4 linked regions of the Diceros bicornis minor genome follow. The protein of the gene in region 3 purifies or fractionates together with the protein of the main gene of each other region. This does not show direct contact. Links are inferred from orthologs where the notes say so. Each region holds a gene or a part of one and is shown on either strand. Other genes may lie near its edges. The genes, in order: DDX24, CENPA, NPM1 and SMARCA5.

Region 1 (7,616 bases), on a different chromosome or scaffold from region 3:
GCTGTGCCACCAGCCCGGCCCCGACCACAGCTTTTAACGTTAGTGACTTTGCTTGGCTCTCTGCTCTCCAGGGTTCTGTTCATCTCTAATATCCCATCTCTGTCCCCCGCCCACCGCCCCCAACCCAGCCTAAGTCTTAGGGCTTAAGAGTAACCTGGGTTGGGACACACTGGTAGCTCTCAAAGACTCAGGGGAAAGGTGGGTTCAAGTCCCTTCCCAGCAGACACTCACCTCGGATCACAGCAGCCTGGACGAAGGCAAAGAGGGATGCCCTGCCCCCCACTTCCCCACTTCCCAGGCTCCTGTCTACCTTGGGAGGTAACTGCCTGAGAACGCAGAGCAGTGTCTGAAGTCCTGCGCTTGGTGAGGCTGCTAAGGACTCCAGCCAGCTAAACAGTCCCACCCTGGGTGACATTAACCCCACAGGTGAGTCATTCTCATCCCAGGCTTGGTGCCAGTTAGACCTCACTTTTGCGTTGCTAACCTAAGGATGGAACAAGTGTGGGCTGGTCTTCAGGATAACCTAATTCCAACATACCCCAATGCCAGGAGCATTACCTTCCCTCTCAAAATCCCCTTCTTGGATCTGTGAGAAATCCCTAGTCCTCCTTTTCACTACACTGTGACCGCACATCTTACGAACTTCATTTTGTATGAGGTCATCTCTCCCCTGTGCCCCCAGGATGTACAAATTTACAGTACAAAACATTTTACATTTGCCGACAAATGGCTTAGAGCCCTAAGCCCATATCTGTAATAATCAGGGATGCAGCGCAGGCTGGGGGTTAACAGCATGATATCTGACCAGTGGCCTGGATTGTTCATTAACAACTAGTGTGACCTTGGGCAAGTTCATTAACCTTGATGTGCCTGCCGTATTAGTTTGGAGAAACGCAGGCACTCAGAAAATACACTTATGACATTTACTTGTTTCTGTCCCTTGCCCTTTGCAGAATAAGTCTCATGAAAGTATAGATTGGTCTGTCTTTTTCTCTTGGGTCAGCACTCAGTACTGAGTAAATATGTTTTGAATGAAAGAAAGAATAAGGAGGAGAGAGGAAAGTGAGAATTGCAGGGTGAAGTTGGGGAAGAAAGGAGGGGCAGGAAACGAAAGAAGGGGCAGAATCAAGGGCGGGAGGGGCCTCTGCTTGGGATATCCTTGAACGGCCTGAGCAATGAGGCTTTGCCTCTCACGCAAGACGAGGAGACGAGGTGGCCAGCCCACAGCCCCGCCCGTCCCCCAGCCCCCAGCTTCGTTTAGCTTTGGAACAACAACCCAACCAGTTCAGCCTCCCCTGCTCCAGCTTCACTGGGCTCCTGCCTGAGCACTGTCCCTGGCACAAGCAGGGGAGAGGTTTTCAGAGCCGGGTTGCAGGAGCCCCTCCTCCGTATCAGTTGGTATCCGCTCTCCTTCCCAGCAGAACTCGAGGCTGCAAGGACATCCCCCACCCGGAGAAACAGAGACATTCTCTGAATTTCCTGTCACTAGAAGACAGCTAGAAAGACAACTTGTAGGACAGAAAAGAATGATACCATCAGACCACGTGTGACATTAAAAACACCATGAACAAAGTTAAGAGACAAGTGATCTACTGGGGGAGAAAAACCCAAAACAGTCTCACCATTAGTATCCCCAATGTAAAGAGACTTCTTATGGAAAAATTTTTGAAAAGAACTGTCTTTAAAAAGGAATGCTAAGACTAAAAGAGGTAGTTCCTAAAGAGAGAATTACATGTGGCCAATAAATATTTGAAAAGATGTTCAATCTCACTAATGGGAAAATAATTTTTTAAAGGAGATATTGTATGTCTGTGCACGCACGCGCGTGTGACGCCTCTATCAGCCAGGGTTTGGCCGCAGGTAACAGAAATCACTCCAGCTAACTTAAGCAGAATGGGTTTTAACACAGGGAATTAGGTGCCTACAAAATTGTTCCAGGATTGGAGGAGGAAGTTCTAGGCTGAGGTTCCAGGAATGACACTCTCCTCAGAATGACACTGAAGGAGTTGGCCCCGTGGTCGCAGTGGTTGAGTGCGCGCGCTCGGCTGCTGGCGGCCCGGGTTCAGATCCTGGTCACGCACTAACGCACCACTTGGCAAGCCATGCTGTGGCGGTGTCCCACACAAAGTGGAGGAAGATGGGCACGGATGTTAGCCCAGGACCAGTCTTCCTCAGCAAAAAGAGGAGGCTTGGCACGGATGTTAGCTCAGGGCTGATCTGCCTCACAAAAAAAAAATGACACTGAAGAACTGGGCCCCCAACGATGCAGTGACCACTGCCATGGTCAAGAAACTGGGGTATGAGGAAGCCACTATCCCACTTGTTGGCTCTGAGACTGAACTGCCTCGGATATCACCTATGCCAGTAAAATGATGCATCTCGATAAGGTAAGAACTGGATCTTGGGACTGTCTACTGCTGCTGCTGAAAACCAAGTCCCGCACCTTCCAGTTCTGGGACGGGAGGTCTGCTTGGCACAATCCAGGTCATTTGCAGAACTGGTGCTATGAGAGACTCTGGGGAATGAGGTCATTAGCTCTCTATTGTGGAGGGTTCACAGCAGGGGATGAAACAGAGCTGAGTGAGTATCACTCAGTATCTACTCCAGGAAGTAAATAACCCGAAAACACCCAGTGTTTGCATGATGAGGAAAGGTGACTCCTATATCCTGCTGGGGGGAGTGTGTTCTGACACATACTTTCTGGTCAGTGACACAGAAACATGCAGTAAAAGCTTTCATTCCATTTGACTCAGAAATTTTGCTTCTTGGAATTCATTGTAAGGAAAGAATCAAAAGTGCACAAAAACAGCACGTGAATGATTATCATGGTGTTTCTAATGACAACAAGTTTGAATCAACAGGAAATCGAGTACACAAAGTTTTATACCTCCACATACTAGAATCCTATGTAGCCACTGATGATAGAGGCAAAGGCAGGTCTACCACGAAGCGAAAGAAGCCTGAGTTAAGGGACTCTTGCTTGTACCAGCTCCTTCCAAGACCCTGGGAGCAATTCTGGCCATGTGCTCACATTATGTACATACCCTGTTGGTTCTATTTCTCTGGAGAACCCTGACTAATAAAGATGCTTTTGTCAGTTTTTCAGAGACCTCTACTGAGAATCTCCACCATGCACCATTTTGACCCCTCAAGATGGTCCCCAAGTCCCACTTCAGGGGCCCTACTTCCAGCCTCTCTCTGGTGAGGTCCCTTTTCCCACTAAACAGCCCCCGTAGGAGAGGTTCTGTCAAGACAACTGTAGGGCCTGGGCCTTGCTTGCTCAGCAAGAGCCCACAAGCCCATTGCAACCATGTGTCCTTCTGGCTCCTTCTGGGCAGGACGCCCAGCTGCTGGGATCTGTAACAATCCAGCGCCTGTGCAGCCCCGGATCTTACCTTATCTCACTTAATCTTACCTTATCTCACTTAAAGAACACCCCGTCTTAAAGAGGCACAGAGCCCCTCCACGTGAGCTACATTCCTGGGAACGCTGATCATACCAGGGACAACCCCTTGGCAAGCATATAGCCTTTGTGTCCCCTGCCTATATAAGCAACCCCCTCCCCGCCCGCGGTGGCGGGTGCACGTTCCTGTCTGGTCGGCCACCACCAGACCTCCCTGTAAGTAACTCCCAATAAACCTCTATGTCTGGTTCGCCATCTCCGGGTCTTTTCTTTGATCTCTCCACAACCTATCCTACACTGCTCACCCAACTGGGCATGCAGCCACACACCAACCCTGCAATCCTCGAAGGTGTGTAACCCGCCCAGAAGAGACAGGAACCTTTGTCCCGCCACGGAGGGATATGCAGCCTTCCTCCTCACTCTGTCATCAGGGACAGCTCCAGTCTCTTGTCACGTACACTTGGGCACAGGCTTTATGCCACCCAGACTCTTGGTGACACACTGGCAAGTTCCCCCAAGATATGAGTTAAGCTCTGTCCCATGGTGGCTCCACGGAGAGTAGGGACGCTCACTTGACCTCAGCTTGGTGAATCCCCCCATTGTCCTTTAGCACTTCCCACAGTCATCAGACACAGAGACAGCATATGGGAAAGGTGTCCCAGATGGTCAGGTGATACCCACATGGAAAAAGTGATTATCTACTGTGAAGCTGATCTCTCTGCACGCATCAAAGAAGCCAGTTTAGCTTGATTAAAGCGTGGGGTCTGGAGTCAGGCCGACCTACCCCAACCATCAGTGAACAGGCCAAGCATAAAAACACCGGGGAAAACAGCACCTCCAAACAGGGTGGTTGGGTTGTAAATGAAACCCTAAAATGTTTGCAAGGCTTCAGACACACAGTAGGTACTCAATAAGCGGACAACCACTGCACTAAAAACTTACAAAGAAGACAAGAAAACTCGCGTTCCCGTCCGTGAGCCGGCGCAGAGACTTTCGGGCTGGAGACAGCGCGCTTCCCGGGTTCCGCCTGCGCCCTAAGCCGGGGAGGAGCGCCGCGCGTCCAAGCCCCGCCCACCACCCCTCCGCGCACTCCGCCCCCGCACCGCGGCGATCCCGCGCGGCAACGAATCGGGTCGCGGAGTCTAGGGTGGGGGCGGGACTTCCTTCTGCAGCGCACACGCGTGCGTGAGTGCAAGCCCCGCCCCGGAACTGCGGGCAGCGCTGCAGCTGAGGGGCTGGTGCGGAGGTTTCTGAGGCGGCTGGCCGGCGTCTCCACGCGGTGAGTCCCGGAGCTGGAGGCGGGGGGTCTCTGCAGGGCGCCCAGTTCTCGGTCCGGAGAGGGCGGCCGCCGGCCCAGTCAGGCAGCCTGCGCGGCCCCGCGCCGGGGCCCCTTCTGTGTTCGTCAGGGCCCGGCGGCCTCGGCTTCACCGCTTCGTGCGCGCGTTCGGGCCTGAGACGGGGCCGAGCGCCGGTCACGGGCGGGCGCCACGAGGAGGGACCCGCTCGCTGCTCAGGCCGCGCTCCGCGTCCTGGCCCCCGTGTGCCCGACTACCGCCCCTCTCAGGGTTGAGCCCGGTTGTTGGTGGTCGTGGCGCAGCCGGGGCGGTGGGCGAACCTTCCCGCGTCTGAGGTGCTCACCTCGGGAGGCGCCATCTAAGCGGTTTGGGACCTGCGTCACCTTTGGGTATCCGCGTAACGATCCAGTGAGACACACAGCCTCAAAGTCACCCCCATTTCACACACGGGGAAACCGAGGGTCACAGGGATTAATATATCCACCGCCGACCCGGAGCTGGCCACCAGGGGTCCGGATTTGAACCAGGGTTTACCTCTATCTTTTCCCCAGGATCTCGTATTTTCTAGGCCTTTCTGAAAAGGGAGAACATGGATCGCGGTCCACTCAGTTTTTGCTTAAATGGTTTTCAAATCACTTAAAACGTAATGAAAAGCTGGACGGGTTTTAAGCCATGTTGTACAGGCCAGGATGGTGGGACGGGCATTTGCCCTCTTGGGGCGAGGCTTGAGAAGGAGGGAACCTGTGTGCACTTTTAATAAAGCTGGCCCCCTCAGGCCCCCACCGCCCAAAAAAATCCCGGATTCTTATTCTGCCTTTAGAATGGCTTGGGTGCGGCAGGCTTTACATAATTTTCTTTATTTGCACAAAACATTTTTGTGACTTAGATATTATTAGGCCCCTCCCCCTTTTTAGAAGATGAGAACACTGAGGTTGGAGAGGTTTAAGCGGGACTGTCCAGGGGCACACAAGAAGTAAGTGTTGGATCTGTAGTGCACCCCAGTTCTGTCTCGTGTATCTTTGCTCCATCTCCTGCGTCTGCTCTGTTCCAGGCCAGGCTGCCTGCTCTGTGGGTGTCTTTCCTTCCCTCTTTGATCCTCTTTAGCTGGAAGCATCAGTGTTGGAGCCGTCTTTGTGTCCTCGCTTCTTTGCAGGGCCTGATACTCTCTAGGCTGCTTGGAAGACATTTGTTGCCTCAAAACCCTGTGCTTCTCTTTTGCCAACCTAATGGAACATTTCTTTTCTTTTCAGCAACCATGAAGTTGAAGGAGAAAAAATCAAGGCCAAAGCCGCCAAGCTATGGCAAATTTCAAACGAAGGGAATCAAAGTTGTGGGAACATGGAAGCAGGTGAAAATTGACCCAAATATGTTTGCAGACGGACAGATGGATGACTTGGTGTGCTTTGAGGAGCTGACAGATTACCGGTTGGTTTCTGCTGCCAAGAATTCTTCCAGTCTCTTCTCTAAGGAGAAGCCCAAAAAGAGAAAGGCACAAGCTCTTTCAGAAGGAGAGGAGGAGGGAGAGTCTAGCTCCTCAAAGAAAAAGATGAAGTTGAAGAAGAGTAAAGATGTGGAAGCGGAAGGAACCAGTACCCAGAAAGAGTTTAAGGTCAAAGATGCTGAGCCAGAGGCCCAGGGAGATGGCACAGTTTGTCCTGATCCAGAGGTAGGGGAGATGGCATCAGAAAGCCCAGCCCAGACTATTCCAAAAAAGAAGAAAAAGAAAGGAAAAAAAAACTTGGAGCCTTCCCAAGGTACTACTCCAAAGGTGCCCAAAAAAGCAAAGACGTGGATGCCTGAAATGCATGACCAGAAGGCAGACGTATCAGCTTGGAAGGACCTGTTTGTACCCAAGCCAGTTCTCCGAGCACTCAGCTTCCTAGGCTTCTCTGCGCCTACACCAATCCAAGCTCTGACCTTGGCACCTGCCATCCGTGACAAACTGGACATCCTTGGGGCTGCTGAGACAGGTAGGGGTATTCTTATCTGGCCAGGGCTAGATTGCTTCTGGATTGAGCCTGTGGCTGCTAGCAGGCTGGCTGGCTGGGAAAGAGGAGAATGTTGGGAACATAACCATAAAAGCGGTGTTGAATGAAGGTGTTTAGAAGTTAGCTAGCTCTGGGTTGAAATCTGTCACTTCCAGGTTGGTACCCTAGGCAGGTCACTTTCTCTCTCTGAGCTCTAAGGTGTCCGTTATAAAATGGAGATAATAGCAGTATCTAGTTTTACTATGTGGGTTAAATGTAAATGCTACAGTAAACTAAAGTTTACACAATATGTTGTAAGTGAGCCTTTTCTCAATGTCTCAGAGGGGTAAAGTAAGGCTAAGATCAGCCCTCTGGACAGGTAGATCTCCATTAGTATAAGGAAGAAGTGTCTAATTCTCAAGAGTTGTCCCAAGATAAAAAGGGCTGCTTTGGGAGTTGGTGTGTTCATTGTCATTGGAAGGATTTGAGTGTGTGGTAGGGAATCGTCGGGTAGATTTTGTAGGCAGATTTGGGCATGAGGTGACTATTGGGACTAGGCATTGTTTAAAGTTCCCTCATTCCCTGGGCCTTCTAAGACTTTGTAAAGCGATGACAGGTTCACTCACCCTGGGTAAACCAAACTGCTGACTGGGGGGAGGAGCTTGTACTGCTTGGAACTGATAGTCCAACTAGACCAGCAGTAGAATATATAGATAGAAATATAACGTGAGCCACATAATTTTAAATTTCCTAGGAGCCATATTAAAAAAAGGTAAAAAGAAACAGGTGAAAATTAATTTTAACAATATATTGATTTAACAAATTATATAAAAAATATTTTAACAGGTAATTAATGTAAAATTATTGAGATATTTTACATTCTTATTTTTATAGTAAGTTTTCAAAATCTGATGTATATTTTGAACTTGTAGCACATCTCAATTTAGAGTA
Region 2 (7,002 bases), on a different chromosome or scaffold from region 3:
TCCACAGTACCATACAATAAGAAATAAAACGTACAAATAGGAAAAAGAAGATTCGAAAGTCATTATTTGCAGACCATATAGTAGCCTATTTAAACATTTCAACTGGAGCAACTGAAAAACTATTAGGATTCACAAGAGAATTCAGCAGGTTGGCTGGATGCAAAGGTTATTTGTTTAGGAAAGAAAAAAAAATCCCGTTCACAGCAGCAACATCTATAAATAATCTATACTTTTTTCACCCTGCTCTTAGTCATGCAGCAGAAGACAAGTAAAGCGGTTGCTGCCACAGAGCCCAGTTCTTGCCAGTGGGTCTCCCACCCACCAGACCACAGTAGAGAAACTGAGGACCACAAACCAGTCTTCTTTCCGGCACATAACCTCGGGAAGGGAACAAGGTGAGAGCACCGCTTGAGTTAGAGCACGTTGGTTAAGGCCCAACACAGCCACTCACTGAAGAGAAAAAACAAAAAAACCTGGAAGGGTACCTTCGTCTTTCTTTTTTTTTTTTTGCTGAGAAAGATTCGCCCTGAGCTGACATCCACGCCAATCTTTCTCATTTTGTATGTGGGCCACTGCCACGGCATGGCCACTGATGAGCGGTGTAGGTCTGCACCCCTGGACCAGAACCTGGGGCTGTCGAAGCAGAGTGCACTGAACTTAAACCCCAGGCCATGGAGGCTGGCCCTGGAAGGGCACTTTCTAAAAGCAGAATTGTTGTTTGAAATCGTCACAAAAAGCAGCCAATAATTTTGCAATTTAAAAAATCACAAACTGATTTTGAAAGCCCGGTGTCTGCCGGAACAGGGGTGTGACCTTGTTCAAGTCACCTGGCCTGTCTGCGCCTCGGTTTTCTCATCTGTAAAATGGGCACAATATAACGTTGAGATAATTCTCGTAAAGAGTTTAACACAATGTCTAGTTAGCGGTAAGCACTCCATAAATGCTAGTAGCATCGGGAAGAATTAGCACCAGCACCCAGGCTGTCTGGGCCCGTCCTTCTCCTGCGCGGCACTGCCTTCCCCAGTCCCCGGGGCCGCGGCGAGCAGATGGGGGACGGCAGAACCGCGCTGGCCAGTGCAGAGGATGCTAGCGGACCCGGAACCGGGGCATTCCGGCACAACCCCAGGCTCGGCACGCGACCTCGGTGTTCTCGTCTGCGAAACGGGCACGCGAGCCGGCCGTGCCCACCTCACAGCACGTGCCGGGAAGGGGCCGCGGCCGGTTACCTAAGGACGGGGCCCGCCGGGGGCTGCCGGGGGCCGGGCTGGCGGCGCGCCTCCTCGGGACTTCGGGCTTGCGGCGCGGGCCCATGGCGGGCGCGGAGGGTTGCGGCCCCGCGGCTCCTTCTCGGCCTTCGGAGTCTGGAGACCAAGGCTGGCGTCCGCGGGCGGCCTGGCAGCGCCCCGACCCGTGGCCCCGCGGTTGGGTGCTCCGCAGCCGCCGCGCCGCCTCACGTTCAAAACGCCCGCATCGCCGATTCCCTGCCGGCGTTTTTTAAAACCCGAATCCAGCGACTCTCAGTGGCTGCCTCTGGAACGCCCCGGCGCAGAGCGACTGCGGGAGGACCAATGAGAACACAGCCCGGGACCCTGACGGCGGCGGTGATAGGAGGAGAGAGCGGGAACATGGCGGGTCCACAGCAGGACTCAGCCTATGGGAACTTGGAGAAGTAAAGGGAGGCGGGAACTTCTCCCGCCCTCCGCTTGCCTGTCGGGGTGCTCGTCTTTGAGGGATCTGACCCGAGTCCTCGGGTGCCCTCTGGTAGGAAAGGGAAGGCTCGATTTTGAAGATGTAGATGGTGAGTTTGTAGAACGCGTTTCTCTAGACAAATCACTTTGCTCAAACATTTTATGTTTTGCCCTATCAACCAACCCAAGTCTTTACCTTGGATTGGGGATCTGAACCCGAGAATAATACCCTGTATCTTGATCTCGGTGCTCTTTTCTCTCCTGACTTTATAACTAAAAGTAAACGAACACCACATTGCACTGACGACTTTGGATGTTTCTGTGATGCCCACGCTGACATCCCCCTTGGTTGTTCCACGGTCCTGGTGGGAATTCCAGCCCAGCTCGGGAAGGGAGCGACTCTCAACAGGCATGCTGAAGTGAACTAGGTCTACAGTCCCGGAAAGCAGAATCTTCTTGAGTTCGCTGGCTGGAGCGGTACCTGGGGATATTCCGTGGGTCCACTGGCGATGGGGGTGAGAAGACCCACTCTGGTGGCGGCTTACACAATAGAAGACCCGACAGCCAGGGGCTCTGCAATGTGAGCCTCCTCCCTGAATGGCTCTTATATTCATCCTCGCCCCCATTTCTCTAGTCCAGACCCTAATCAAAGGTTGTTTTACTGGTCTCTGTCTTCAGTACCTCTTAACGCCAATCAAACCTGTCTCCATATAACCACCAGGTCATCTTTCTAAATAGCAATTTGGATCATGTCGCCTCCCCTGCCTAAAACTCTCCATGGCACTCCACCGTCTAATGACAGAGTTCTAATGCCTCAGCAGCACTGAGGGCACAGCACTGTCTGGGCGCCTGCCCACCTCTCTGGCCTCTTCTGCGTTGCATGCTTACTGCCAGGCACACCAGTCCACTTACCTGCAGTTCTTGACTACATCGCCTTGTTATACGCCTTCACGTTTCCGTACGTTTTACAAGCTGTTCCTTCCTGGAATACTCCTTCTCCTGCCCTTCAGCCCCCAGCTGGGACTCCTGCTCATCCTTCAACACCCAGTTCAAGTGGAGCTCTCTCTGACAGTTCTAGATGGAGTTAGCTGGTCTCTCCTGTACTACCTTCCCTGCACCTCGTACAAAGGCCTCTTATTGCACATCACACTGTGCTGGAATTCTTTCTTTACATATTCATTTCTCCTGTGTTCTTTGATGGATCCACTCTCCTTGGAGCACATCAGTCCTCAATCAAGTTTGCTGAATTCTGGGATAGAAACCCCTTATTAAATTTTTTTTGACAAGTGTTCTTAATGAAGAAGGGTGATCTATAAACTTTTATGGCTACATAGGGAAACCCCTGCTTACCTCGAGTTTTGAAAGGATGTAGTCAACAAAAGGCAATCTATAAGTGGGTCAGGGAGGTGAACACGTTTAGGAATGCTGAGAACCTCTCCTTTTTATAGGTAGCCAAGGTCTTGAGAGGTAACATGACTTGTCCAAGGCCATCCAGTCAAGGTAGAGGCAGGGCTGAGAACACAGCTCTCTGCCGCCAGATTCTGCTTCTTTCTCCTACACAGGAGGCCCTTTGCTCCACTCCTCTGAAGTCCTCATAAGGGGTCAGAGCTCTGACCTCCTGGAGCGCTGTCTGCTTGTTCAACTACGCAGAGTCCTTTGGGCAAAGTAAAGGCAAACAGAACCATTTGGCACGGGACTAAATCTCCGCCTTGTGGGCAGATTCCCGGTGGAGAGGAGCCTGAGGGCTACTCCCAGGCCTGGATGGCAGTCCTGGAGGAAGCTCCAGCCCCAGGCTCCCCTAGGATCACTCTACGAGGACTAATCAGTTCACCATGTGGATGATTTAAATTACACTGTATTTGAACCGATGTTCAAATATTTGATAACCGATGGAGGTCTGTTATCAGTTATTCTGATTTTGGGGCTCAGGGCCTCCACGCCAAATGCCCACCATTCAGGGCTCCCTTACTCCACTCAGAACAGTAGGCCACAGCTACAGACATTCCCCGCAACCATCCAGACTCAGGAGAGGGGAGGTCCTTCCCCTTGCACATGACCAGCACAACACAGTAAGGCCTCTCATTCACCCTCAAAGCACCTCTGACAACAGGGTACAGTGGACACATCCCAGGGCCTGGGAGGACACCTACTGCCAGCATAAAATTTTCTGGAGGCATCCTGTTTTAATTTATCATCGATGTGAATTTCACATTCTACTCCATGATGGTTTGTTTTAATAAAACATTTCTCCTATGCTGAGCAAAACCGATGTTCTGTGCCGTGACAATGCTGGGACTTCAGTGCCCCCGATGGACCACTGTGGTGGACAGTGCAGCCCTACGTGACACTCTGCTGTGCACTGGCACATAGAGGCACCTTCAGTTTATCATCTTATGTAATTTTCACACTCATCCTGCAAGATGGAGGCTGGCTTTCTCATTTTGGAGATGTGAAGACCTAAAGCTCCAGGAGGTAAAGCAGGTTCCCTGAATTGGTGGCAGGCCTGACAGGGTGTCCCTATGCTCTGCAACCCCTGACCACTGAAGTCCCATTATAGTTCCCCCCACCCCTTCAACATTAAAATCAACACAGTCTCCCATGGCAGCACTCAAATAAAGGCCAAGTGCTTCTCTAACACCCTCTGAAGCGGTTTGCATGGTTGAGCGCACAGGCTGGGCAGTCCGCAGCAGAGGAGCAGTCCTGGACTCTCGGTACAGGCCCCTGGCTACGCTCCCTGTGGCAGAATGGGATGGGCAAGTACTGAGAACCAGGAAATCTGGCTTTGCATGTCACTGGCTGTGTGACCTTGGGAAGTTCCTTCCTCTCTCTGGGCTTTAGTTTCTTCATCTGAACAATGAATGGTGGACTGGGTGATTTCTATGCTTTGGTACATTAGAGCTTTTCCATCCCAACATTCTAGACGCTATCCCCAGGAACGTTCCAACCCTTGTGCTCCTTCCCTCTTGTTAAAAAAAAGTCCATACTACCAATTTCCCTTTTTAAAATAAAGCCTAAAACAACATTCTAAGGCCCCAGTTTTTTGGACAAGGCAGCTGTAGTCCCCACCACCCTCACTCTCCATTTCCTTCTTCTGTGAGCTGGTGGGATGGAGAGGCCCTCCTCTCCCAACAAGCTGTAAGAACCTGCTGGATTCCCGCATAGTCTGAGGGCTTTGCTTGTCAAAGATCCTTTCCCCAGAACCTATTTTAAGGAAGGCATTCAGTGCTTTGTTTTATGATTGAGCAGCCCAGGAAGATGGTCTGAGGCTCCAGAAACTACCAGAGTGAGGAACACTGGAACAGAGGGCTGCTCAGCTCCCTGCAGTCCCTGATGCCAGCCAGTCCATCTCTTCTGGGTGGGGTTACCAGGAGGACAACAGCATAATGCTTCTATCCCAGCCACAGGAAATTCCCCCCAAAGACCCCAGGGAAACCCATATGGGAGGTGGGGGCCCAGGTGTGGAATCAGGCAAACCTAGCTTAGAATGCTGGCTCCATGAGGAAGTCACTTAACCTTCTTGGGGCCACAGTTGCCTTGTCTGCACCCACCCGTGCAGGCTGCTATGAAAGTTAAGCACTTAACACAATGCCTGGGATACCAGAATTACTTTAAATGGTAGAATCCTGGTAAGTCCACCAACCTGGAGGGTTCTCTAAGAGTCAGGTTGGGAGGTGGGGGCTGAGGTCCAAATGTACTCTAGATCTCAGCCTATGGCAGGATCATGTGGCTGCATGGCCAGAGCCTACAGCAAGAGAGCCCTCCTGCCAAAAAATACAGAACCCTAGGCCTCAGTTTCCTCATCTTTAAAATGGAGGTAAAGACATCCTAAACACTGTTATCAAGGGCTGCCTGGAATTCTGGCTGTAATCCCTCTCAGTCAGGGAAGACTTGAGGGTGTGTGAGCAAGGACATCAAAACAGGCTTGGGGAGGAGGCACTGTGGGCAGAGGGGCATTTCCAATAAATGGGCTGTTACTCCTTTCCCAGGTAGGTCAAAATCGTAGGCCTACAAACTGTGCCCAGCTGGGGCTGGAAGGCACTGAAGCCACAGTGTTGATACCTTCTGCTTTACAGAGCAGGACACCAAGGCCCAGAGCGACCAGGTAATGGGCTAGGGAGCATACACGAGTCTGCTGCACAGCCTGACTGAAACCTAGGTCTCCAGACAGGGTTAGGGAATATCTTACAAGTTTTAGAAAATACGGTGCTTAACTTTCATTCTCTTGCATAACAACCTGCACAGGTGGGTGCAGACGAGGCACAGGTGGGTGCGGATGAGGCAATCGTGGCCTCAAGAAGGTTAAGTGACTTCCTCGTGGAGCCAGGCAGGGGTCGGTCACTGTCCTCAGGCCTGTGGGGGCTGGGTAACACCTCTCTGCAGGGGGTTGTGACAAAGGAGGACCAGGGTATCATGTCATGTTCTGTGGCAGCAGCTTTCCTGGGGGTCTGTGGGGAGGGGCAGGGTGAGGCCTTGGGCACAGGGCACTCGAGGCTCACCAGCCCGTGCGACCTCAGCCTCAGGGTGAACAAGGAGTGTCCAGGTGGCAGCAGAGGCCCTGCAGAAGGCTCAGCTGGTATCGTTGATGGCAGTCCGAGAGCCACCCAGCAGTCTCTCATGCTCACCCTCCTCTGCCGGGGGCCGGCCCCTGGACAGGCGGGTGAGCAGCGGGCGGTGTAGCCCGTTGTAGAGGGCGGTGCCCATCAGGAGGATGAGGAAGCCGAGGATCTGCAGTGGGTGGAAGGCCTCCCAGCCCAGTGCCAGGCTCACTGCCCAGATGACAACAGTGCGCAGGCTGTCCAGCACCATGCGAGTGGTGGCGCTCAGTTCCTTAGTGACACTGATGCCCGCAAAGTTGAAGAAGGCAATGCTGCTGATGTTGCCCAGCAGCGCCAGGGCAATGAGTGGTTGTCGGCCCACCTGGCAGAAGGCGTCCAGCGCATCCTCCAGCGTCCCGTGAGGGTTTCCACTGAAGGAGCCGGCGGGGATGTAGTACATGGGCACCAGCAGCAGGGAGAGGATCACGAAGCCAAAGAGGCCTGTGGGAGTGGAGGAAGCATATCACACTCTCCGCTCCGTCCCCAGACTCCCAGCACTTCCCACCCAGCAAGGGCTCCACTGATCTCCTGGCCACCTCCTTCTAGCGGCCCTACACCAGCTCCTTCCTTTCAGGTCCTGGAGCCGCTCCTCCCATCAGGAATTCACAACGGCCTACTGAATGGGCTCTAGCTGCCCCTTCTCCACTTTAATCCACATCTTCCAACTGGACCAAGAGTAAGAAATACATTTTACATAGTGACCAGTATACGTGTGCACA
Region 3 (7,069 bases):
CACCAGCCCCTAAACTGACCTGTGAACAGAAAAATAGTACTTCAACTTTTAAGTTGCCACTATTTTACAATTCCCCCCCAAAATGAGTTTTTTAAAAAACAAAACTATAAACTTTTCATTATTACCACTGATGGAAAACTAATTTGAGCACAATGTTGTCTTCAACTTTTATGTGACCCTGCCCATCAATTTCTCATATTCAGTAAATCTGAACAAATGCATAAAAATGCATTTGATGACACAGTTGTATATGTCACCACCTATCCACAGTATGGATCACCTAACATTTATTGACCACCTACTACAAGTTGAGCAGTCTAGACACTAACAGAGGCTAGTCTCTGTGGGAGGGCACAAAAGATTTATCACTACCCTAAAGGGCTTTATAGTGGAACTGAGGCATCAAAGTATACAAATATGGAAAGCTGAACCAACAGTGTGACTGGACTTTACATAATTACCAAATGAGTGGTGAAAATGCCAGGTTTTCTATCAGAGGTATATAATCAGGTATATACAACACTCAGTTATAAAAAATACTTAAGTATTAAGCCACACGAGGAGGAACTAAGAGACTGAAATGGACAAAGGTTAAGTAGTTTATTTTGAAAAGTTTAAGTACCGTTCTTAAAGATAACTGGTGCTCATTTTCATCATTATCCACCTTAAAGTGATAATCTTTGTCAGCCTTTAGTTCACAACCTGTAAATGAAGAAAAAAGCAACTATAACAGAGAAAAAAATAACAATGAAACTTCAGTGTGGGTAACTAAAAAAGTATTTGTGAACTAGTTTTTCACTATTCTGGCTACCAGAAGGCAAGGCAGAAGTATCTCTTTCTGGATCTCTTGAACACAAACATGTATAAACATCATATAACATCCACACAGGGCTTAGGGCTTCATAAATTCCACTTTCCCATTATACTATTTGATTCTCAACTACACTATTACCATTCTCAGATAGAAATAAGCTCAAAGATTTAGTAAATCTGTAACTGAAACAAGTATCTGAAACCAAATTGTACGATGTTGGTAAAATCCCACTGTTTAAAAAAGCTGAAATTACCTAACTCAACTCCCAAGAAAAGCAGCAAATTTAGAAATGAGAATGGTTACACAAATGCCTACATGAACAGTTTGTATTTACAACAGAAAAACTACAAATGTAAAAGAACTAAAACTTGTTAAGGGGCCAGCATTCCATCTTTCAAGTAACTGAAATGATGTACATTAAATCACATTCAAAAATTATGTTTAAAGCAAGAATAGATATACCCTAAAGATATTTCCAATAGAAACGTTAACACAAAAATATTTGGGTGTAAATTGATCAGAAACCTCAGCTCTTCAAGATGGCTAGAATAAAAGCCTTAATGTATAGTGCATGTTACCTACTCCCACTCCACAAGTAAGAAAATTGTTTTAAATACCATCAGAATGAAACTTTAAATGATTCCATTTAATTGCCATCTAACAGTTACTGGTGCATATGTTTAAATGTTATCGCTCAATTAACAAATCTCAGCATGGTATATAAAGAAACAAAATAAATTTGAGGCAGGATTTGCGCTTACTTCCAAGCCTGACTGACACAAAGAAATGGCTTCAACAACCAAATTCACTGCGACTGAAAGCCAAACCAGGCCTCTCCTTAGTATGTCACTGTGTGCTGAGGAGGGGGAGAGATCTCAAAACCTTGGTATAGAATTACAAGTACAGTACAGTATCAGGTCTTATCGACCTAACTGAACTCTCGGCACATTTCTCATCTTTAAAAAAAAAAAAAACAAAACTGTTTGCTCGATGCCACACAGAAAACTGTCTCCATGGGCCTCTCTCCAAAAAAACAAAAAACCAATCCTTTATAACGCACCAGCTCTGGAGACAAGGGTCTTGGTTTAGATCTAGTCTCTATTTACCTACAAGTGCAACATTCTTTAAATCACTTTAGTTCTCTGAGCATCAGTATCGTCATCTGCAAAGTGGCTACTCCATCCATCGCGGTAAAACAGAAAAATGGCTCTAGAAATGAGAACTACCATCATAGTACGCAAATGTTAAGCAATGAACAAAGACCTCCAGAATCCTGGCGCTACCAGCCACTTCACCTAACATTTCCCGCCCAACAGCCTCAACTAAAACCCAGGACCCCAGGCTCGGGGGTGACAGGACATCAGTGAGCCCCGGATGCAGCGCCCACACCCCCACCTTGCCCCAACCACGTGGCAACCACGTGCTCCCAGCGGTTGCGGCCTCCTCACGCCCGGCCGGGCCTCCCCTCCCCCGGTAACCAGCCGACGCACCCGGGCCGAGTGTCGGCCCTAGAGCTCCTGACCCTGAGGCCTCAAGGCCGGAGGACAACGCCAGGCTGGAAGTATCCTCTCCTCCGGAAAGGAGGCCCATGCTCACATGACGAGCCCACACAACCTCCTGCACCAAGCCGAGGCCCAGCACCGAAGACACCGGCGCGGAATCGGAAGCCTGCGAACTCACACACCCCTAAAAAGAAATCACGCTCCGGGCTCGACTGTGCGCCCTAGGCAACGCCGAACCCTCAGCCTGTCGGCTCCACCTTCCCCAAGGCCCTGGGCCTCGGACCGCTCACGCCCCAGGCTTCAGGCCGCCCCTCCTTCCCACCCTTGGCGCGCCGGCTCTCCTGTCCTGGCTCCCCATCCCTCAGGCTGCAGAGCCCCGGCAGCCCGCTTCCCCCACCTCTCAGGCGGCAGGGCCCCGGCAGCTCGCGCCCCACTCCCCAGGCCTCCAGCCTGCCTGCCTTTCTCCACCGGCCCAGGCCTCAGAATTCCCGCCCCCCCCCCCCACCTCAAAGCCACTAGGCCTGCTCGGCCTCGCTCCAGCCCCCCCAGCACTTACCGAAAAGATAGTTCTGGGGCCTCAGGGGGCTCATGTCCATGTCCATCGAATCTTCCATGGGGTGGTGGCACGCACTTCGGTGGGAGAGAAGGCGGACGGAGACAAACGACCACTGTTGCACAGAACAGCCGCGCAGGACGGAATCACACCAGGGAAAGGACGCGGGCTCCCTGCGCACATATATAGCATCTTGAAGCTCTCGCGAGAGCTGACCAAGTCCCGTCTCTGCGCGCGTGCTCGGGAGCCCCCCTCCCCGGACCGTCGCCTTCCCGCGCAAGCGCTCTTCAACATTACTCCCTTCTACCTCGCCCCCCACCTCCTCCAGGTACTTCGCGGGCTCCCACCGAGCACGCGCACTCGTACCCCGGCCCCACCCCTCCGCCGCCGCCGCCGCCCGTGCGCACGCGTGCTTTCCCCTGGTAGCGCGCGCTCCCCCGCCTCCAAGCCTTCCACGTCCTCTCCAGCCCAGGCGCGCGGGCGTCGCGCCAAGAGCCTGCGCAGCCCACCCTGCAAAATGGCGACGGCAAGTTTTAGCTGTGTTAGGTGTGGGGGGCTAGCCAGTTAGAAGTGACCCAGAAAGCAGCTCGCTTCACCTTTCTCCATCCCTTCGTGCCTCGCAGACCTCCAAACAGGCATAACCACTTCAGGATTTTTGACTTGCCTAAAGGCCCGGGCTCAGAGTTGTATCCCCCAAGTTAAAAGCTTCAGGTGCCAGAGACAAGAGTGGACTACGAATTATTCTTTGTTGGCGAGAAAAGATGCAGCTGCTGGCCGCACTTACCCAACTCTGTTTTTACAGCTCTGTACTTTCTGAGGAAACATCTCCGAAGTTGAAATCTCTCATCTTTATGTCATTTTGGGGCCAAAAGAGAACTGAGTCAGCCTCTTCCATAGAAGCCCCGCAAGAACCAGGGCTGGGTGATTTCTCCCTAAAGACAAGGGCTGTGTATCGGAGCAAGCCTGTGGCATAGCGGTTAAGTGTGTGCGCTCCGCTGCTGGCGGCCCCAGTCCGGAACCCCAGGCGCCCACGGATGCACCGCTTGTCAGGCCATGCTGTGGCGTCTTCCCACATAAAGTGGAGGAAGATGGGCACGGATGTTAGAGCAGGGCCAGTCTTCCTCAGCAAAAAAGAGGAAGATTGGCATGGATGTTAGCACAGGGCTGATTTTCCTCACACAAAAAAGAGGGCTGTGTACCTGCAATAAGTCCCCACATCAGGTCCCGTGAGGCCGGTGTGACTATCCCCACTTTGCAGACAAGGAAACGGGTGAGAGAGGTGAAGTAAGGTACCCAAATGGGTGATGAGATGGTTCTCGAGCTCTGAGTCCCGTGCTAACATCCTTCTAAAAGAGCTGGGAGGGTTATGTAGGGACCAGTCTCTGAGACAGCGCACTACTCAATCTTGAACATTCCTAAGAATGTTCTGAGCTGTAAAGAAAGCGTCTAACTTGTAAGAAATGCAACCTTAATTAGACTCTTGGGGAGTGAGCCTGGAAATTAGCATTCTAAACCAGCTACACCTTGACAAACTGAGGACCTCCGCAGCTCCAGGGCACTGTGAGTTTTGAGGATCCCCTCTAACAATCTTTTATGTCAACAGATCAGACAATAAGAAGTACTGTGAAGAGTAAAAATAGTGCCAGTGATGCCCCTACCACTTTTTCCCCAAAGACAATCCAGTTGGGAAGATAAACTACAGAACACATGAACCAATTATTAGTTAACAAAATCAAAATCCTAAATTTGGAGAAATCAGTGTGACCAGTATGTGAATGAGGCCAAGCTGTTCCCCACCTTTTTCCTCACCCCTAAGTGAAGAAGAGCCTTCACCAACATGGTTCTTGGATCTTTTGAGTTGGAGAAGATGAACAATTGCTAGAGAAAAAACTGAGACTTGGAAGGATATTTATGTAATGGAATGAGAAAGGCTGATAAAAGGGAGGAGAGGACTGTGGCTGAGAAGAATCTGGGGATTTAGAATGGGAAAGTCTCAAGAGGAGCTACAGGACAGTGTAGGAGAAGGGGTTAATGTTCTTTGAGCCCATGCAAGTAAAAGTTGGAACTACTTTGTAATTTCTTTCTGGATTCTCGACCATGATTATTCAAATTTAGCTCTGTACAGATCCTGAACCATATGGGAGCTATAGCTCATGTTTTATAAATACATTTGTTGTTTTAATATTTCAGGCACCTAGTCTAGATATGATATCATGGAATCAAGCAGTTAAAAAAATCACTTATTGCATTTTTCAGATTTACAAATGTAATGAATGCTCACTATCTTTTTAATAAATTAAAGTTATTTAGGTCTATACACGTGAAAAAGTAAAATGCCTCTCTTTCCATATCTCTGTTTCTATTCCCTAGGAGTAATCACTGTTAATAGTTGTGTGATTATCCTTCCAGACTATATATATAGGGAGAGAGAGATTACATAGTTGGGGTTTTTTTCTTTTGTATTTTTTTTAAATGTGTGTGATTCATATATTTTTCACCTTTTTTGCATATTCAAAAATATATTTTGGACATTTGTCCAAACTAGTACATAATATGGAAATGTTATGATTTAATATCCATTCCTCCATAGATAGACGCTAAAATTGTTTTCATAGTTTTGCTATAAGAAATAATGCTTTAGTAAATGTTATGGACTGAATGTTTGTGTCCCCCCAAAATTCATACGTTGAAGCCCTAATCTTCAATGTGACTATATTTGGAGTTAGAGCCTGTGAGGGAGTGATAAAGGTTAAATGGTTAAATGAGGTCATAGGATCAGCCCTAATCTGATAGGACTTGTGTCCTCCTTATAAGAGGAAGAGACACAAGAGCTCGCTCTCTTTCCTCTATGTGAGGCCACAGTGAGAAGGCAGCTGTCTGCAAGCCAGAAGAAAGCACTTACTGGGAATTGGATTAGCTGGCACCTTCATCCTGGATTTCCAGGCCTCCAAAAGTGTAAGACAAATTTCTGTTGTTTAAGCTACCCAGTCTGCAGTATTTTTTTATGGCAACCCAAGCAGACTAATACAGTATCTTTGTACATATATCCTTATGGATGTCTTAAAGTAGTTTTGTAATATGTATTTCTAAGAAATGGACTTGTACAGTAAAAGGGCAGGTATTTACTTACAAATATATGTACATAAAAATGCAACTTTTTGTTGTTTACATAAATAGGCTCATCCTTTATATATTGTTGTCTTAGTCCATTAGGCTGCTATAACAAAATACCACAGACTGGTAGCTCATAAACAACAAATTTATTTCTCACAGTTCTGGAGGCTGGAAGTCCAAGATCAGGGCGCCCGTGTGGTCAGGTGAGGACTCTCTTCCAGGTGGTAGACTTCTCCCTGTATCCTCAGGTGGTGGAGGGGGCTAGGGATCTCTGTGGGGTCTCTTTTATAAGAGCACTAATCCCATTCATGAGGACTCCACCTTCGTGAACTAATCACCTCCCAAAGACCCCACCTCCTAATACCATCACCATTGGGGGTTAGGATTTCAACATATGAATCTGGGGGGAATACCTTCAGGCCATAGCAATTTTCTGCAACTTCGCTTCTTCATTTCATGTGGCTTAGTTACCTTTCCATGATATTATATATGGAAGCTCACTGCATTCTTTTTAGGAGTTGCATTATATTGCATAAGATGAACATATATACTATTTCCAGGTTTTATTTATTTCTTCATTTGTTAACACATTCTGTGATGGAAATCTTCAAACACGCACAGAAATAGAATATTATGATGAACACCAATATACCCATCACCCAGCTTCAACAATTATCAACATATAGCTAATCTTGTTTCATATATACCTTCCCACCATCCTTCCCACTCCCCCTCTGCTGGATCATTTAAAGAAAATCCTAGATATGTATATTTTCATCTATAAATACTTAGTATGTATCTTTAAAAGATAACAATTTTTAAAGCCTAAACATAATACCATTATAATACAAATCAAAGTTTTAAATAAGTCCTAATATTATGAATTATCCAGTTCAAATTTCCCCAAATGTCTCTTGTAGTTGGTTTGTGTGAATATCCAAACAAGGTCTACACATTATACACTGAGACATGTTGTCATTTAACATGTTTCCTTATCCCTTGTGTTTTCTATGAGTTAGTAGATCAACAGCTGCTCTGTCAAATGTGGTTGCCACTAACTATATTTGGCTACTTAAATTTAAATTA
Region 4 (7,518 bases), on a different chromosome or scaffold from region 3:
TTCCTTCCATAGTTGGGGGGAAAAAAAAAGATTTGGATTCCAAGACTCCTGAGGTCATATGATTATTGGCATACAGAGTGCCTATCTATCAGTCTAGTCAATAGTGAGAGCTGAGAAGAACAAAGACAGGCTCCATCCACACTGCCAAAAGATGATAATAAACAAAAAATGAGATTGTTTCCTTGATCTATCAGTACCAAGCAAAAAGGAAAAACTAACTGAATACATAGGAAAGGTAGCTAATATTTCTGGGAAGGTCAGCTTTGTCAGAAAAAAATCATAAATGAAAGATTTCATTTATTTTCTGATTTGGGGAAAACCCACCTTAAATTCTACTTTCAAAAAGAAAATGGCATTTTAAAATATGTTTTTCAACTGTGAACAGATTGCCAGATATATCATGCATGTATACTCAAACCTAGTTTTTACCATTGATTTTACTCAATGACTTCTGAATTCAGTTGAGGGAAAAAAGCAGACAAGTGACATTTATTTTAAAAGACCAAAAAAAAAAATCACACTATAATGTGAAAAGAAAAAAATCACAACTAAAATTAGTCAGTGAAAAAGAGATTGATAAAAGATAAAATTACTGTAACGCCTATTCTGACAAGGTAAAAGTAAGTCATTCTTTAATAAATGACATTGTCAAATATCTCCTTTGTAAGAACATGATAAGGCAAGATATGTGGGAAAAGGGTCAGTTTCAGAGCAAACATGGGTTCTATCACAGGTTCTACTTATCAGAAGACTCAGTTTCCTCATCTGGCAAATACTAAAAATACCACTGACTTCATTTGGTACTTATTATCACATCAATAGTAATACTTAAACTCTAATTCCACTTTAATTTAAAGATAGCAACTGAAAGCCAAAATAGTTTAGGCTTTAAATTACTCTGCTTTCTGACATTTAAATAACATCTCTAGTGAGACATCGATTATTATTCTAAAATTTAAATGACAGACTCTTTTGAGAGGCTAATGAAAACTCTGGATACCACTTTGTAAACAATTGTGCATTTAAACACAACTGCTTTCAGCGTCACAGATTTTCAAACCCCCTTAAGCCATGGAGTAGGACCAGGTTAAAAAGCCCTGATAATCCAAAAGAACTATTTAAAACCTTGAGTAAAAGAAACAGGCAACACTAGATAGGAAATGGAAACCAATCTCAAATCACTGAAAACTACAGAATATCAGATGTCCTACTTCACTAAAACCTACCCTCATCGCTAAAAGTTCTTTGAAAAACTAACAAAATAATGTTACTTTACCCTGGATTAGACCTTTGGTGCCCAAATAAAAATACTGAACCAAGTATTTCAATGGTAACCTGCGCTTCCATTTCCTTATTGTGTTAATTCTGCATCAAGATTCATTTTTAGAGCAGTATTACCTCCATTCCGTCTATCTAAGGATGGAAAAATCCCAAAAAGCCTTGGGCTGCGACTATAAAATATCTCAAAACAGATCGAAGGCCAAGAATGAAATTTGGAAGGAGCAAGCAATCACTTTGTTCCCAGACATCGCAAAGCCTTGGAGCACACCCAAGAGACCCGCCTGGCCGCTCCCCAATCTTTCCACCCCCGCATACTGTCACCATTCCCCGGCCAACCCTAGCCAAAAGGCAGGGTCGGCAGCGAGCGGGACCAATTTTCAAAAAAAAGGCCAAGGCCCAAAAAGAGGAATTGCGCCGCACTGAAAGCCAACTAACCGCCCTTGGCTCACTAATTCATTCATCCACCCATCCATTCCCTCCCCCTAAATGAGAGGGGGGTCCAAAACAGCTGCTGCTGCCTTGGTCGCTTCCCTCCCTAAGGAACAGTGCCTGGGAGGGGCCTCCTCTCCCTTCACAGGAGCAGCTGCGCCCCGCTTATCCCCACTGCGCACTCGGCCATCCAGCTCTCGCCATTGTTTCTGCCCAGAACAGATACCGCCCCCGCAGGGACCGGGACGAAGAAAAGCAGGCCCAAGTCCTCGGATGCGCTGCTTTTAAATGCCTTCCCCACCCCGCCCGTCTATCCCTCACTCCTAAGGGGCAGCTCCCTCGCCCTTCCCCCAAGTTTAGTGGAAACTAAAACCTAGATTCAGAGACGAGAGAGAGAATTACAGGAGTCTAGAGGAAAAAAATTAAAAAACCCGGGTAAGTCCCTCTTGGCCTCGGTAATCAAGAACATCTGTTTAATAAGAGAGTTCAAGGATTTGGCAAGATTCGCTCCAGAGACAATGTAAAATGGGAAGTGCAGAAATCCATTTCAGCCTCGTTGGGTAGGTTAAACACAAGGGCGCAAGGGTGAGAGCATCATTTCGGATCCAAAGAGTTTGAGGCCGAGTTTGGGTGCAGAGAGGCTACGCACAGCTCTGCGTCCGATCACTAAAATCCAGGCGAGGGAACCAGCTCCTCCTCACCACGGCGCCCTCTCCCCAGGCCACAAGCCGCCCTCACCTCCATCTCGGAGTCCGCGGGGCCGGCGCTGGCCGCACAGGAAGCCACCTGGGCCGCGATGCCCTCGGGGCCGCCTTTGTTGCTGGTGTTGCTCCCGCTGCTGGCGGCCGAGGCTGCGGGCTTGGAACGCGCGCTCTCGGGAGGCGGGGGTGGCGGAGGCTCGGCCGCGGACGACATGATGTTCCTTCTGCGTCACCCGATGCTGCCAGAGGCCGGGCCGGCAGGGAGGAGGAGGAGGCCTAGGCCTGGCCGGCTACGTCGCAATGAGCGGACAGAGGAACGAGAGGACCACCCGAACGCCCCCCGCGCCGCGGCTCCGCGCCGAGCCTGAGCCGGGCCCAGCAGCCTCCTCCTCTCGTCGTCCTCCTCTTCCGCGGGGCTCGGGGTTCGACCGGCGCTTACCTCACGGCGGGAATCACGTCGACGAGAGTGGGCGGGGCCACCCGGGTCACTGAGGTCAGGGAAGGCGGGCTGAATTACAGGAGGGCGGAGGGTTGGAGGAAGAGGAAGGGAAAGCGAAAGAGAGACCGAGGCGAGGAACTAGTTTCGCCCCCTCCGCTTCTTCCTCGTAGATAGCATCTATCTCGCCAGCATCCCAGACAACTACCTACGCCACCGACTTTCAACCCTCGCGAGATTGATAGTTGGCTAATTGACTGAGTACCGAGTGCGCATGCGCATTCTCCTCTCCTCACCCTAGCCACGCCCCCTTCAGGGCCCCCAGCGGGCTCTAGGGCGAGGAGTGGGCGGGGCCTCGAGGAAGAGCTCGGAGACGCAAGTCTGTGCGTCGGCTCCCTGGCGTGACGCGAGCCCAGTCTTACATGCGTTGATAACGGCTGGCTGTCCTCGGCGGCCGTGTGTTCTTGGCTTGGCTGGTTCGGCGGACTCGTGGAAAACTTGCCCAGGTTTTGCGACGCTTACTGAAACGGAGGCCTGTGGTGGCCTTAGCACTTCGATCGCCTCGGCTTATAGGCGTGACGCCACAGCGTTGACGATATTATAGTTATCCCAAGTGACGTCTCACGTTTGTGTTGTCTAAAGAAAAGGGCCCATTAGGGTGATTTTGTTTTGTTTTGTTTTTATCAGTCATTTCTAAATTTCTTCTACTTCCCTTAGGTACAGAAACAATAGTTCCTCTGAATTTACGTGGTAAAAGTAAGCAAATTATGTTCACTCTACCATATGAGAAATCAATAGATAAGGAAGAGTGGCGGTGAGTTGTAATTTATCCTCGATCACCAAATATTAAATAAAAATGCACATCCTTCTCCTTGTTAAAGGTAATCACCACTAATTATTTTGTACACTGCCTTAGGTTATCTTCAACGTAGCCTAAGGGTCTTGTGCATCCATCTACCACAGAATTTAAGCACGTTGTATCTGTCAACTTTAAAATAAAATTGCCAATTATTTTACCAGCAAAATGAGTTTATTTGGGAATAGCAAAGGAATTGCAATTTGGACATGTGCACCATAGGCAAGGCTGAAGAACAAAGGAAGGGAGCTTGCTGTTATACAGAAAAAGGAGTGTTGGGACAGTTCTAAATGAAAGTTCCTTAAATGAAAGTTCCTTGGAGGAGAGTAAAAGTTCAGAGTAGCAGAGCTCCTCATTGGCCGAGCTGCAGTGTTTTCCATCGGTGGGGCTTGTTGCTGGGCAAGAAGAAAATCTTTCCTCCTCCTAGAGAAGTAAGGTAGTAGGCAACTTTCTGTTGGAGATGTAAGGTAGTCTCTTCCTGTTTGGGGTAATTGAGGAAGAGTAGTAGGGCACTGGTGCTCTCTCTACAGGCCTTCCCAACTCCAACTTTAGTTGAGGTTTCTTTTGCTAATGTTCATATATTCTATTTAATGACAAATCTGCATACTACACTAAATTTTTGTCTGCCCTGTACAGGCGCTTATTTATCTTTGTATCTCCATGTCCAGTATTCTATCAGTGTTTATTGAATAAAGCAGGCACATTTTTCAAGAGTTAACGGTTTGAGCTAACTGGTTGATTATGTTGAATTTCAAACAGAAGAGATCTCCTTTGAATATATAGCCTGCAAACTTTTACCTAATAGAATGATAATTCTTTAATTGAGATCTGGAAAAATAATCCCCCAACCCGTTAGAAATGCTAAGGATATGTGAAAAGAAAAATACCTACAATGATGTTCATCATAGTCTTTGCTAGTAATTGCAAAAAACTAGCAATAGGCTAAGTCCAATATTGAAAAGTATGATTCTAGAACTATTGTATACCCACAAAATGAACTATTATTAACCTTTAACAACCATTAATGTAGAAGAACATTTATTCTGAAAAAAACTTTAACTGAATGTTAAAGTTTCAGTTAAAAAAATGTTTAACTGAAAAACGTTTTAACAGTTCAAAAATATAGATAAAAGTTTGGAAGGATAATAAAGTTCTGAAAGTGTTGTTGCTGTATATTTCCTAATTCTTTTTTGCTTGTCTGTGTGTTTTTATATTACTAAAATAAATCTGTATATTATTATATTGAGAAGACTTATTTTTAATATTAAAAATGTTTTCTCACCAAAAAAAATTGTGTGGAAGGATAAAAATGGTAGTATCTAGGGTGGGACCTGATGTATAGACAGTCAATAAATACTTATTGAATAAATATTTATTTAATATTGACATTGTTAAGTAGAAAGAACATAACATTTATTTGGTATTCAGACTATTTCTTCACTCCATAGTGATACATAAATATCTTGGGTCCTGGTTTGGAAACCCTAAAAATATACTTAAGTATATAAATGGAAGGGTCTTAATTCTGACAACTATTTAAGGAAAGCAATAAATAGCAAGAAAAGCAATAAATTAAATTATCTCCAAAATGGCAATTGTACTTTAACATGTGCATTTATACTGTGAGTTTCTCATGTGAGCATGGGAAAGCTGTATTAGAATCTTGCTGGGGAAAATTGTAGAGGAAAGATAATTAGAAAAAAGGACAAAGAGGAGACAGAATGTTTGAATCCACGAATCTAACGTCAGGGACAAAGAAACAGATTTTGAGCAGAGTCTAGGAGCAGTGAGGAAGAGGAGAGGGGAGCTACAGAAAAGATAGGATGCCTGGAAACTGAGCTATAGGGACATTAGCTGAGTTAGTCAGACAGACAGTAGTCTTTATATGGTGGCCAAATCACGAAGGCTCATTTCTCTTAAAGACTAATAGGCTAAAACTAATAGCTACTTCTGGAATTGATAGTATAATATAGGATTAGTGTAGTGGCAAGAGAGTAGGCTGGGGAGTCAGTCAAGCCTAGATTCCAGTGCAGGCTCAAGAACTTAGTAACTGTGTGAATGTAGGCAAGTTATCTAACTTCTTTGAAATCAATTTTCTCATCTTTTTATTATTATATTATCCTAACTTTATATTGGGGTAATCTTATAATGATGTCATAAGAATTAAATGAGATGGTGCATGGAGGGTGTTTAATACAGTGCCTGAAATATAATGAGCCCTGTGTTCAAGTGTTGGGTATTCCAATCCTGAAGAATCGTAAGACTAAGGGTCAGAGTCTAGTTGGAGGAAGAGTAAGCTAATGGTTTTTTAATAAGTAGGAGGATAAAGGAAATAGTGTCAAGGAAACTCTAAAAGAAATTACTGCTTTAACCACGTTCCCAGAAATAAAATGCTACAATATAAAACCACGTTAGTGTTCTATCTCAAATATGCAAATAGGTATTTATGCCTGAAATTCCCTCTGTTAGATTTAGCGTGCTAGAACAGCATGTGCTGTGCTGAATAGAGTGGAACAAAGAGATGTTGCCAAAGGACAAAAGATGTCACAGAGCCAGGACTCTCTCAGCATTTTCACCTTGAATGGTAACAAAAAGGACTTAAGTTTATCAAGGAAAAAGTAGGAATGCTGAGCCTCTCTTCATCACATACTCATTTTATTTTGTGAAAGCCTAGGAGAATAAAATCTGGTTACTACATAACAACAATAAAACAGTATTGAGATTGTGAGTATCTAAGAATGGGAATTTCCAACACTAAATACCAATGATCACATCTTGTCTGTATCTTGCTCAGAATTCTCCTACATAGGTCATTTGCCATGTAAGGGGATTCCAATTAAACCAAAACATTAACTATGCTCTTAATAAAAAAGATAAGTAAGGTTTAAACACATTTCACTTCCTTGAAAAATATAAGCTAAAGTAACTCAGACAATATGAAATAGATAACTTGAATAACGCTATAACTATTTAGGAAATTAAATCATAACCAAAAAACTCCCCAAAAGAAATCTCTAGCCCCAGATGGTTTCAATGGAGAATTCTGTCAAATATTTCCACACAATTCTACACCAATTCTACATAATCTCCTCCAGAAAATAGAAGAGAGTACACGTGCCAATTCATTTTATGAAGCTGCTATAACCTTGATACTAAACCGAACAATGCCACTATAAAAAAAGAAAAAGGCAGACAAATATCACTGATGAATATAGACGCAAAAATCCTTAACAAAACTATTAGCAAATACGGTTATGCAATATGTAAAAATAATTGTGTACCCTGACCAAATAAGAGATTCCAGAGATGCAAGACTGGTTCAATGTTTGAAAATCAATCAGTGTTATCTGCCATATTAACAGATTACAGAAGAAAACTCACATGACTATATCAATCGACGCAGAAAAAGCATTTGACAAAATTTTAACACCCATTCAGGATAAAAACTCTCAGAAAAAAAAAAAAGAGGGAGACTTCCTTCACTTAGTAAAGAGCACCTACAATACCTGCAGATAGCGTTATGCTTGATGGAACTGAATGCTTTTCCTCTAAGATCAGAAACAGGCAAGGATTCTGCTCACACCACTGAGATTCAATACAGTGCTGGAAAGGAAAAACAGAACTGTCCCTATTTGCAGATGACGTGATTACCTACACAGAGAACGCCAAGAAATCTACAAAAACATCCGAAGGCCTAATAAGTGAGTTCTGCAAAGTTTCAGGATACAAGATAAACATTCGAAAAATCAACTATTTCTGTAAACTAGCAATGAACATGTGAACTCAATGCAAATAGGTGTTTTAAAAAACGGTCC

The links.
Region 1: the proteins of NPM1 (region 3) and DDX24 purify together in Homo sapiens (affinity purification with mass spectrometry; 3 studies listed by BioGRID and IntAct, counting the BioPlex papers as one, with this or other methods). This does not show direct contact. The link is inferred for Diceros bicornis minor from reciprocal best matches to the Homo sapiens genes NPM1 and DDX24.
Region 2: the proteins of NPM1 (region 3) and CENPA purify together in Homo sapiens (affinity purification with mass spectrometry; 4 studies listed by BioGRID and IntAct, with this or other methods). This does not show direct contact. The link is inferred for Diceros bicornis minor from reciprocal best matches to the Homo sapiens genes NPM1 and CENPA.
Region 4: the proteins of NPM1 (region 3) and SMARCA5 purify together in Homo sapiens (co-immunoprecipitation; 3 studies listed by BioGRID and IntAct, with this or other methods). This does not show direct contact. The link is inferred for Diceros bicornis minor from reciprocal best matches to the Homo sapiens genes NPM1 and SMARCA5.

What each region holds. Positions count from the first base shown.
Region 1 is NC_080763.1:39,614,866-39,622,481, reverse strand, and holds the start of DDX24 (ATP-dependent RNA helicase DDX24), read left to right. Parts: upstream 1-4,614; 5' UTR 4,615-4,682; intron 4,683-5,948; 5' UTR 5,949-5,953; coding exon 5,954-6,668; intron 6,669-7,616. UniProt on the Homo sapiens protein: ATP-dependent RNA helicase that plays a role in various aspects of RNA metabolism including pre-mRNA splicing and is thereby involved in different biological processes such as cell cycle regulation or innate immunity.
Region 2 is NC_080751.1:55,990,287-55,997,288, forward strand, and holds the start of CENPA (histone H3-like centromeric protein A), read right to left. Parts: upstream 3,008-7,002; 5' UTR 1,312-3,007; coding exon 1,227-1,311; intron 1-1,226. Other genes in the region: SLC35F6 (solute carrier family 35 member F6), read right to left, coding at 6,255-6,724. UniProt on the Homo sapiens protein: Histone H3-like nucleosomal protein that is specifically found in centromeric nucleosomes. Replaces conventional H3 in the nucleosome core of centromeric chromatin that serves as an assembly site for the inner kinetochore.
Region 3 is NC_080740.1:85,422,555-85,429,623, reverse strand, and holds the start of NPM1 (nucleophosmin), read right to left. Parts: upstream 3,019-7,069; 5' UTR 2,931-3,018; coding exon 2,873-2,930; intron 703-2,872; coding exon 623-702; intron 20-622; coding exon 1-19. UniProt on the Homo sapiens protein: Involved in diverse cellular processes such as ribosome biogenesis, centrosome duplication, protein chaperoning, histone assembly, cell proliferation, and regulation of tumor suppressors p53/TP53 and ARF.
Region 4 is NC_080750.1:33,315,169-33,322,686, reverse strand, and holds the start of SMARCA5 (SWI/SNF-related matrix-associated actin-dependent regulator of chromatin subfamily A member 5), read right to left. Parts: upstream 3,018-7,518; 5' UTR 2,626-3,017; coding exon 2,449-2,625; intron 1-2,448. UniProt on the Homo sapiens protein: ATPase that possesses intrinsic ATP-dependent nucleosome-remodeling activity.